Drosophila melanogaster: one gene and its partners. The protein of the gene in region 3 interacts with the protein of the main gene of each other region in a pairwise test. Each region holds a gene or a part of one and is shown on either strand. Other genes may lie near its edges. The genes, in order: Pgant9, CG5618 and CG14568.

Region 1 (3,757 bases), on a different chromosome or scaffold from region 3:
CTTGAGTCAACAGTTATGGCAGGCAAATTGACTTGAGAACATTTTTTGCTGCAAAGTATGCAACGATTTTTCGGCACTCCATTTGTGTTTGTGTGTGTATGTGTGTGTTTTTCGGGTGTTTTCCGGGTTGCTTTCCAGTGAATTTGAGGGGCGAGTCCGGGGCTGCCTAACTAAGCCGAGTCAAAATCTAATTGGATTTGTGCTCACTCAATGAACTGCAAACGAAAAGTGTTTTATATGATTATTCGTCTGGGAGCCTCCGGGGACCCGAGAAATGAACATTTTTATTTCCATTTTGCACTTGCCATACTCCATTAAACCAAAGTGCAAGTGTTTGCAAAATATGCAAGAGAGGAGCTACAGTGGAAAAATAATCAGGTTATGAAAGTATGTAAACGGGATTAAAATTGCTTTGAAATAGGTTTTTAAATATAACTGCTAACTAACTAGTTTGTTAAGCGAAATATTATGCTTAAGTTTATTTGATTTTTGAATCTGTTTGTAATAAATATACATTTTTATGTACCCCCCAGTCCCAGTGTATTTATTAATATACACCTTTTTTTCGCTTTTGCTGTTCGCTTATTGAGCGCCCTTGTGAAGGCGACAAAATATTTGCCACGCGACATTTCCAGCAATTAGGCGTAAAAACACGTAGCCAAGAATGGCGAGCGGGAATACCAGGGCATACTGCGGAATCGTTGGGTTTATCATAGCGAAAATCAACGCCAGCTGAAGGCGGTAGTAAAAAAAAAAAAACAAAAAGGGAGCAGTGCAGTCTGTAATGAGACGGAAAGCGAGCGCCAATCGCTGCAATTAAAATTAATTACAGTATTTGTCAGCTTAGCCCGGCTAACTAAGTAACTGGCCACCAGTAAACCTGCAATCTGGCCAGGATCCATTCAAAACACGGTGTGGCGGAAGGGGAAATCGGGGTGTGGGAGAGCTGCTTTGATTGCAATCGCGATCGTTAATTAAATGTCGAAAGGAATGTTGTTGTTGCAGCTTGTGTTTGTGTTGCAGATGTTGCAGCGGCAGTTAATGCCGGTGCCTCCTGTGCGTAAAGATCAGCCAAAATGGATAAGGGCCAAGTTGCTGTTGCCGCTGGCTATTTATATCTGCAGCTCGCTGTTGCACGCAATGTAATGTACATATAACCAATGTTGCTGCCGCAGCAGTTGTTGTTGCATCTGCTGCTGCTGTTGTTGCTGCTGCTGCTGCCGTTGCTGCTGCGGGCATTATCGCCCTTGATCTTGGCTAAATCGAAATCGCCGGCGTTGCGTGAAGTGTTGCAAATGAGTTTTTGTCTGGGGCGTGCATTGCATTTTCAATTGGTCGGCAAATTGGCAGCGCCAACGAAAACAGCCATCAAATCAAAATCACAGGTGGCACAGCTGTATTGAAATTGGCATTTTCCAGCAATTTGGGCACCGAGCATCATTTTAAAAATGGGGACGGTTTCATCAATTGAAATAGCAGACCTAATTAACCTAAATAAGCGAAAAAAGTGAAAATTCTATAATAACAAACAATGCAAATATATAAATGAAATTTCATGAAATACTTCAACCTTAAATGGAATTTTTCGAACTTCCGTAAGCCTTGAAAATGTTGTTATATTGATACTATTTATTAGCTTTATGGTGAAAGTATTTAATATCAAGCTGTACATGATCACACTAGCTCATCCATTTGTTCGTCAATATTTGCAATGCGATGCATTGTATATGGCCAAATGCAGTTGTGCAAACAGAAACTTGAGCGCTATCAATATATGACAACAAGCAGTGAAAAACACGAGACTCGTTTTGAGGCCAAGAAAACTTTTTCGCTGTATAAGAAAAACTAATGAAAAATGCGGCGCAGAGGAAAAAGTTGATTGGTGTCGTCCTCCCATTCTCCCAAACGTTCCCACAAATATCCACCACCAATGCTGCCCCAAAACTTGGCCATGTTTCAATTGAAAGAGCCAAACAAAACCAATGAAAAGTCCATAACGAACGGCGGGCGGAAAATGCGGAAAATAGGGAGGGGAGGTGCCAAAGCGAAGCAATTGAAAAACAGCTTCCGTCGGTGTTGCAAATTGTCAATTTCGTGGTCCGTTCTTTACACATCACAATTGCTATGTAAAATGCAGTGAATGTTGGTAGCCAATCGCAAATAGATTCTGTCGCCAACTTCTAAAAAATTTCAATTAAATAAAGTTAATTAATATTAGTCATTATTAAATTTCCACAAAAATATGGTTACTTTCCTGCGGCTAAACCGCCCTCATCATTCCATCCCCACCCCCAGCAAAAGCAAAAACAAGGCAAACAACTTCAATATGCAAATGAGCCACGTGCAAGCCGATTTGAAGATGGCCAACGACAAGTGCAGTGGCCAACACGTTAGACTTGCAGTTCGAGTTGCAGTTGCCAGCCGGCTTAAGAGTCGCGAACGAGCTTGTTCGATGTTGCAACAGTGATGACCAGCGGAGCCCATTAAAAGCTAAAGAAAGTTAGTGCAACTAAAGGCTAGTATATCATATAATATGTATATGTATATATGTATGTATGTATATATAAAAATAATAATATATATACCATATAATAATAATATTAACCAATTTAACTAGAAGCCCACATTAAACACATCCGAGACATTCTGAATATATGCATTTATAAATTTATAAAGGTTAGTAGTAGTATTAGTTAGTTTTTAGTTTAGTTAACCTCGCTTCGTATTTTTGTTTTCTTTTTTTGGTTTGTTTGAATTTAAACAGATTTCTCAGCCATTCCATGGATGAAAAGCGAGGACCTTCTGGGAAACTCTTATCCCGTCTTTTGCGACATGACAGTCTCCGTCAGTCTCCTCCCCCGCGCCTAATAACCCATGAGGGTGGACCGCTCTTGCAATCCCATTTCAAATTCCATATCCATTCCATTTGGCGTATACGGGCTCATTTGTCATTCACAGGCTGAGAACAACAATGTCTGGGGCAACAACAAAGAGTCTTGCTGTGTGTCTCTGTGTGTGTGTCTGTGCTGGGCTTATCAGCGAGTGTTTATCAGAAGGAGCGAAGTGACCCACACAACAACCCCCCCACCCACTTGCAACTCGAACATCGAACCTGGGGCTGCGAACATGTTGCGAGCCACTGTTGCCGGCTAAAACTCCAATGGGAAATACTCAGTCGATTTTTGACCGTCAAATCAGCAGGTTGCGGTCGGTCCGTAAGTGCGAGTGGGAGAGCGCGCGTGCTAAGGTGAATTGTGAATCCGTTGCATTTCTCTTCCTCTTCCACTCCTCACACCTACGCAGAGGTGTGTGCGTGTGCGTGTCTGTCTGGCTGTGTGTGTGAAATAATGAAATAACGAAATAACAACAACAGCAACACAAATCACAGTCAGCTGTGAAGTTTCTTTGAATGTGTGAAATCATATATGCAAATGGCAAAAATAAGCAGAAATTACAAATTAATAGTGTGAAAAATTCATACACAAATTAAAGCATGCTAATCGAAATAGCTCAAAAAGCAACTGAGTAAAAATCAAAGCATACAAAAAAAAAACAGCCGCAGGGTATAATTTTTTGTGAAACTTGCCAACTGAATTGAAATTGGAACTTGGGAATTTTTGACAGCAGAATCAAGGAGCAAAGCGGAGAGCGAAAGGCGGGTAAGTTGTTTTTTTTTTTTTTTTAGAACTAACGGAGAAGAGCTTGTAAACACGCGACCCGGCAGCATGCCGTCCCTTTTCCACTCACCTTGCACCTG
Region 2 (3,757 bases), 1.4 Mb from region 3:
TTGGTTATGTACTAAACAAATGCTGCAACTATATCCATTCCTCTTCCCTCATGCTGCTTTCACACGGTCGTCAACGCTATAATGTAAATGTTAATTTGCAAACTGGTACCTCAATTCGATATGTAGGCATTTTGCGCTATAAAGTAGATTTCCAATCCCTACAGGCCGATGAGCCGCTGGAGGATGTCGATCTCGATGACTATTAAGCCTGTTAAGGGTGGGCTGCGAATGGGTCTCGATTATGCGTTACATACATAATAAACCAGTACTTTTTGGGAAACCTCGTAAAGCAAAACGTTCAAATTGATTAGGAACCAATTTACTTGCCACATAGTTTTACCTATGTTCAGCGTAGCCGTTCAATATTTATCACCAATAGGGTCCCTCTCATCAGTCGGATGGTGCATTCCCTTGTCGATCAGATCAGCGTGCATCTAGATATGTACCTATACGTTTTACCAAATTTTTTAATTAGTCGTGCACCAGGCGGAATCGCGTACTTTTAAGCAGCATATTAAATTCGTATTTCGTACTCGTAATTCGTAATTTGTATTTCAATGGTCATGTAAAAGCGATGCGATAGATATTAGCGCATTCTCCGTTCATCTGGTTCGATTTCGACTGCGGTATTAGGAGCAAAAGATCTTCGGTTAACTGCCACATGCCACTTTCGAACGTATCTGCATTTCCCCTATTCAAATTATAGCCGAGTGTTATAAGAAAGTATACAAATCTAATCCATAAAATTGTAATAAAAATTAAACCAGAATAAAAACACCACACAATGAGGATGGGGTATCCGTTTATATTCAGTCGCGAAGTACAACAAATATTTTATTTAGTGTATGAAAAGTTAAATGTGGATACAAAGGAGGTGAGAATCTGAGTTTCGGTTGAACTATCCTGTGTGTTGATCCTTTTGTTTTTTCCTCTTCATTTATTTTTCAATTTTCAATCAGCTTCTGTTCTTCTATTTTTTTTTTTTTTTTGTTTCTTATTTTAATTTAATTCAATTGCTGGGTGTGCCTCTGCAGGTATCTTACGCTACAAGGTGGATTTCCAGAGTATGCAGCTCGATGAATTGGACAATGATGGCTTCGATCTAGATGATTACTAGGAAATGTATCTGTAGAAATGAATTTGCCACTACGTTCGACCGCAAACTGAACTGCAACTACAACTATATGAATCCAGGAAATCAAATAGAATATTTAAATAATATGAGAAAACACAAACCTTCTTCCATTTTTACGTTGTTGGCGAAAAAAGTAAAATTTTAAATAATGCATATAGATACAAACGATAAAATGTTAAATCGAGGAAAACATATTAAAATGCAACCGTTTTACGTGAACAAATTTGCAATTTGAATATATTTTCGAGGGACTAGAGCTCTTGTTATATAATTAATTGTTCCTCTATAAATCTAAATCTAAATCTACATTGACAATACGCCACGTTTCCTAAAGTTTTTGGGTACAAGGAGAATTGTATCTGTGAGTTTTAATCGTTCTATTATAGCTTGAAAACGAAATTTGCACCGAAAGCTGATAAAATTCCGACTCTGCTATCTGCTGGATAAGTAAAATGCTGGTAGCCACTTGGAGTACTACCAGTACAGCAATGAAAGTAAAGTGAAATGGGCATTTCATTTTCTACTTTCTATTTGCAGGCACACTGGAAACAGTTTACTGCGAGATTCCCACTTCATTAGTTGGCAATGCACGTGGACGACAGCAAAAAGCACTCGTAGTACTTGTTTCGCCCTTGATTTGCATCTAAGAATCGCTCAGATACATCTGGTGAGCTGAAACTCGTTTCTGAGCCGCAGTGTCGTGCAGGTATCCGTACTCGTTTGAATATTTGTAAGTAATCATTGCAGCGAGACTTCCAAAAAGTAAGCTCAGCTAAGTTCTGCGGTGTTGGGCATCCAATTAGTTGACCAAGTTTTCTGGTGGCATGCACATGAAACTTGTTTAATCGATAGGGTAAATATGCAAATTTCGATTGAATTTGACGATAATGCGTCGAGATGAAAAGAAAACGAATTGTGCAGGATTTTGGTTACGAGATAAGCCGAATCAGCTAATAAGGCACGTGCTTAATTGATATATATTGTATGTTTAAGTAACCTAAATATGCACGACTTTAATATCACTTTTATTTCGCTTTCGTAATAAAACGAGGTTCACTCTAAAGAGCACAAGCGTGGAGGTGTATGTGTGTTCTTACAGCCCCGATCATTTGTATTTCCATTTGAGTGCGAGCGAAGACGAGGGTTTACAACTTGATGAGAATTTGATCAAGATAACATTAAAACACAATCTGCTGCAGTCGGACGGGGCACTTCTGATTGAATCGTCGACGGAAGAGGTTCGGATCTCGAAAGCCAAAAATAATCAGCCTTTTACTGGCCAATTGAGATACGGAAACTTCTACCGACCGAGTGTAGTATGGCTGAATCAGTGGATGGAGCAGAGACTGTTGACCAGATTCGCGATGGCCTCATGGACGACTGGAAGATCCTGGAGAACGTATTCCACCTTCTCCGGAAGGAGGATACCTTCTGCGTGGATCCCCAGAAATGGGACAAGCAGAAGATAGTCCCCTTTTTGCAGCCAGACAAACTTAAGGTGAGTGGAGCAAGTGATAGACGATTCGGCGTCTGCCGATGTGGAGATAACCAGAGATAACAGAGAACTGATTAATGGAAGAGTTCATTCGAAAATTGACCACCCGACCGCAAATTGTAGCAATTGTACTATGGCTTGCCCGACGAAATGTGAGTCAATTGATAGTAGCACTTCCTGATTGAGCACACTCATGCTAGTATCTGATAGTTTTAATTATAATTGAATTGTTTGTTATTTCATAGATTATGGTCGGTTTTTTCTGGGTAAAGATATTATTAGTTCGAAACAGAAAACGTTTTAGAAATATGTTGAATCTTTAATATACTTTCTTATTGCAAAAGTCGCTGTTCTATAACAATCTTGAGATTACATGATTTCGCACCATCACTTCCAGGAACTGATTAACCTGAAGGTTCGAGAGACGGAAAACTGCTCGCTCGCGGAGATCGAGGAGCTGTGCCAGCAGGTGATCCATTACTCTGTGAAAACCTCGCACGGCCGCTTCCACAATCAGCTCTTTGGCCAGCTGGACCCGTTTGGACTGGCAGGAGCCCTGGTCACCGAGGCCATGAACGGCAGCACGTAAGTCTGCGCCTTATTCCACACATGTGTCTTGTCTATATGAGTGACCGCTGATTGCATCTCGTGTTCCAATCTACAAGTGGTGTCGGGGTTCAACGTACAGATAATTGCGCTATGTAATGGAGATTGCAAAGTACTACATGTATGTTTCATAACCCCCCCCCCCCCCTTTCGATTAATTTAAATGGGGATTAAGCAGAGTTCATACACAATCATTGCAAGTTATTAATCATTTAGATGAGATTTCCTAGATAGGACTACCAAAATCAGACTTTTAACCGAGGTATCCAACAAGACACAATAAACTTTTGTTTCAGATACACCTACGAAGTTGCGCCCGTGTTTAGCTTGATCGAAACTGAGGTGATCGCGACCATCTGCAAGTTAGCGGGATACAAGGAAGGCGATGGCATCTTTGCGCCCGGTGGCTCCACCTCCAACATGTACGGCATGGTTCTGGCCCGCTATAAGATCGCGCCCGAGGTGAAGACGTCTGGAATGTTTGGAATGCGACCGCTGGTGCTCTTTACCTCCGACGAGTC
Region 3 (3,223 bases):
CACTGGTGACCCAGCCACTATAACTAGAATAAAACAAAGCATTAAAAATGCATTGGAAATGGGAAGCCTTTCACAAAAGACCATACAAATCCGCTAAAAGTATGCGATGGGAACAAGGAACCCTTTAAACGCTTCCGAGGCAATTCACATGTCAAGGATATGCAAAGAATTCCGAACAGGAGTTCGTCCAGAATAGGTCTGATATAAGTTTTTCTTAAAGGCAAATGGCTTGCACTGAATTTTAGAGAACTGAAATCTTTGAGCTGTGTGTAAACAAATTTGCATCCATTTCGACAATTTAATATTAACCATTAAAAGCAATTATTTCTCATGCAATTATTATTTCTCGACAATCGGTAGATGTTGAATAATAATATAAATTATTAATAATTCAAAATAACACAGTCAGATGGACTGACACGTATAGATGAGCACACTGCTGATTATCCTCCCTTCTCCACTTACTTTCACATAATACGTTTTGATTAAATACGAAATACTAAATTATTTACGTAAATGATAACTTATTTGTTTGATATTGGAGTCGGGATATTTAATTTATTAATTAGTTTCGCTTATCATATCACTGGTTTCTATTTAGACTTTTTGGACTGAGTTTACTTAAAATGTAAGGAAAACAAGCAGACGAACCATTTTTAAACATATTAGCAGAAATATATTTTTAACAACAAATTGCAATCCAAACAGAACAAATTAAGAGAAGGCAACTAGCGTTACTACCAGCCTAGTTGCTGGGGAGCAGCGCTGTAGGCTGCCAGGTAATACGGCTGCTGGGCACCCACATAGTAAAACTGGGGCGTGGCCAGTGCTGGAGCCTGAGCTACTGGAACCAGCGAAGCCACTGGAGCCACAGCCGCATCCACGGGCAGCTCCTCCAGGCGAGCTGTGCGTTGGCGGAGCAGCTTTGGCTTAGCCAGCTGCAACTTGCCCAATCTATGGCGGCTGCGCAGGCGGGCCGGAGCAGAGGATGGTGTGGTGGCCTCAAGTGAGCTCTCCTCGGTGTCCACCTCCTCGTTCTCTGGGCTAGGCTCGAAGGTGTCCACTGGTGGATCCTGTTCCGAAGGCAAGGCATCTGTATCCACATCCTCGGGAGGTCCGTAGGTCAGCGCGGGCTGTTCGGCGGCGGGTTTAAGCTCAGCAGCCGAGGGGTAGGGGGTGGGAGCCAGCTCCTGCCGGGCGAACGCCACCGGACGCAGGCGCAGAGTCCGCCGAAGTGGTGCCTGTGCCGCACAATTCACCGCGCTGATGGCCGCCAGCAGGAGGAGGAGCGAACTGAAAAACTGGTAACGTGCCATGATCGTGGGACTAGCAGTTGAGCTGTGTTTGCTGTCGTATATGGAGCTTTAACTTTTATACTTCCAAGTGCCGCAGCGGTGGCCCTGCTCATCGGTGGTCACTGGTCAGCGATTCTAGCCCAGCCAACAACGCCGTGAATTTTAAGCAGAGCGCCGCGATTTGAAATCCATCAATGCGTATGCATTGTATGTCAAGCAGGCGCCGCACAGTGGAGTGGAATTTAAAGTGCTAGCAGATCTATAGCCCTAGTTGCCCATGCCCATGTGGACCATTGGCCACATGCTTAGTATATAAAAAGGGAAGTAGGTTAGAAAGAAATTCATTAGCTCAGTTAAAGTAATGACATATTTATAAAATTATAGAATTACGTTAGAAAACATACAAGTCAACGAATGACATTCGTTACTAGTTCGACTTCTTTGGTTGCAACCCATTCCTCATCCGCAGTGGTTCCACGTAAAGTGTCAAAGTTAAGTGCCCGCGGGTTATAATTAACGGCCAATGGTTATGGCTTAGACATGGGCCCTTGACTAAATATTGTCACGTCCGTAGGCCAACGAAAGGGTGTCCCTCGGTGAGCCAAATATACCCGAGTGGCCGAAAACTTCAGTTGGTATAAAAGGCGCGAAACTGGCAGCCACTGACAACATTCTAAGACAACTCAGCAGCAGCTCAACATGGCCCACAAGTTCATCTGCTCCCTGCTCCTGATCGCAGCCATGGCTGCCGTTTCTGTTGCAGAGCCTACCAGATTCCGGGGACGATTTTCCCGCCTGCAGTTTGCCCGTCAGGAGCAGGCTCCAGGGGATCAGGCAGTTCCGGCCGACCCCGCCGTGGATATTGCACCTACGCCGGCCTCAGCCCCTTATCCGCCAGCAGGAGTGACACCGGAGGTGCCCTTCGACCTGCCCACGGAGACTGAAGCGCAACCTGATCTTACCTACGGACCCCCAGATGAGCCCGACAACACCTACGGCCCTCCCGATAACACTTACGGACCACCTGCTGAGCCGGAAAACACCTATGGACCGCCGGCTGATGGCCCAGTGGACCAGGCCCCTGCTGCCGATCCCGTGCCCGCCGGCTTGATCCAGCCTCGTAACGAACGCCTCCTCAGTCGTCGTCCGACCCCAGAGAAGCTTCGATCCGCTCAGATTATCCGCTCTGGATCAGTTCTGGTGTACACCATCTGAAATGGGTCAACCCTAATTTGCTAGAAATCAAATGGAATCGACTCATTAGGATATGCATTTATTACTTTGTCGCTAAATAAATTGTTGTTGAATATTTTAATTTAAATAATAAAATAATTGCGTTAATATTCAAGCCACCCTTTTGTCATAAATTGAAAATTGCAAAATATGTCTGTCTTGTTGTTAGTGAAGCAAAACATATTTAATTTGTTGTTGGAGCTAACAGATATATGAACGCATTTGCTTTTCTATTAAGATCTTATTTTCTTAATCAGGATCAAATCACAAAAGTGATTCGGGAGTCTCAACTACAAGTTACCCTGTGCTCTATTATCTATTAAAAATCTTGTCCAAGCAGTATCAAACAAGAAATCCTATATTCGGCTTCCCTGCTTATCAGATACCAACTACTCAGCTAGTGGAAATGCGAACGCGAACTTGCATACTTTTCCTGGAATATCGATAGATATTGGTGAATAAAATGCGTTGCATAAACTTTTTTGTCAATCAACAGAAATTTACAAGACTAATAAAAATATGCAAAATGTCAAAACAATTTGCAAACGTGTGGGCGTTGCAGTTTTGTGTGGTTCGTGGGCGTTAGAGTGGGCGTTTCTCTAGAAGCTGTGAGCTGTAAGCTGTAAGCTTAATCTCAACCCTCTAGCTTTTATAGTTCCCGAGATCGAGACGTTCATACGGACAGACGGGCATGG

What was found.
Region 1: the proteins of CG14568 (region 3) and Pgant9 interact in a two-hybrid assay, tested with the Drosophila melanogaster proteins (one large-scale study listed by BioGRID).
Region 2: the proteins of CG14568 (region 3) and CG5618 interact in a two-hybrid assay, tested with the Drosophila melanogaster proteins (one large-scale study listed by BioGRID).

The regions. Positions count from the first base shown.
Region 1 is NT_033778.4:16,730,801-16,734,557, reverse strand, and holds the start of Pgant9 (polypeptide N-Acetylgalactosaminyltransferase 9), read left to right. Parts: upstream 1-1,641; 5' UTR 1,642-3,659; intron 3,660-3,757. UniProt on the Drosophila melanogaster protein: Catalyzes the initial reaction in O-linked oligosaccharide biosynthesis, the transfer of an N-acetyl-D-galactosamine residue to a serine or threonine residue on the protein receptor.
Region 2 is NT_037436.4:20,351,773-20,355,529, forward strand, and holds the start of CG5618 (uncharacterized protein), read left to right. Parts: upstream 1-2,147; 5' UTR 2,148-2,453; coding exon 2,454-2,633; intron 2,634-3,027; coding exon 3,028-3,215; exon of another isoform or gene 3,216-3,357; intron 3,358-3,532; coding exon 3,533-3,757. Other genes in the region: eRF1 (eukaryotic translation release factor 1), read left to right, coding at 1,673-1,782.
Region 3 is NT_037436.4:21,732,224-21,735,446, reverse strand, and holds CG14568 (uncharacterized protein), read left to right. Parts: upstream 1-1,959; 5' UTR 1,960-1,994; coding exon 1,995-2,510; 3' UTR 2,511-2,641; downstream 2,642-3,223. Other genes in the region: CG14573 (uncharacterized protein), read right to left, coding at 738-1,316.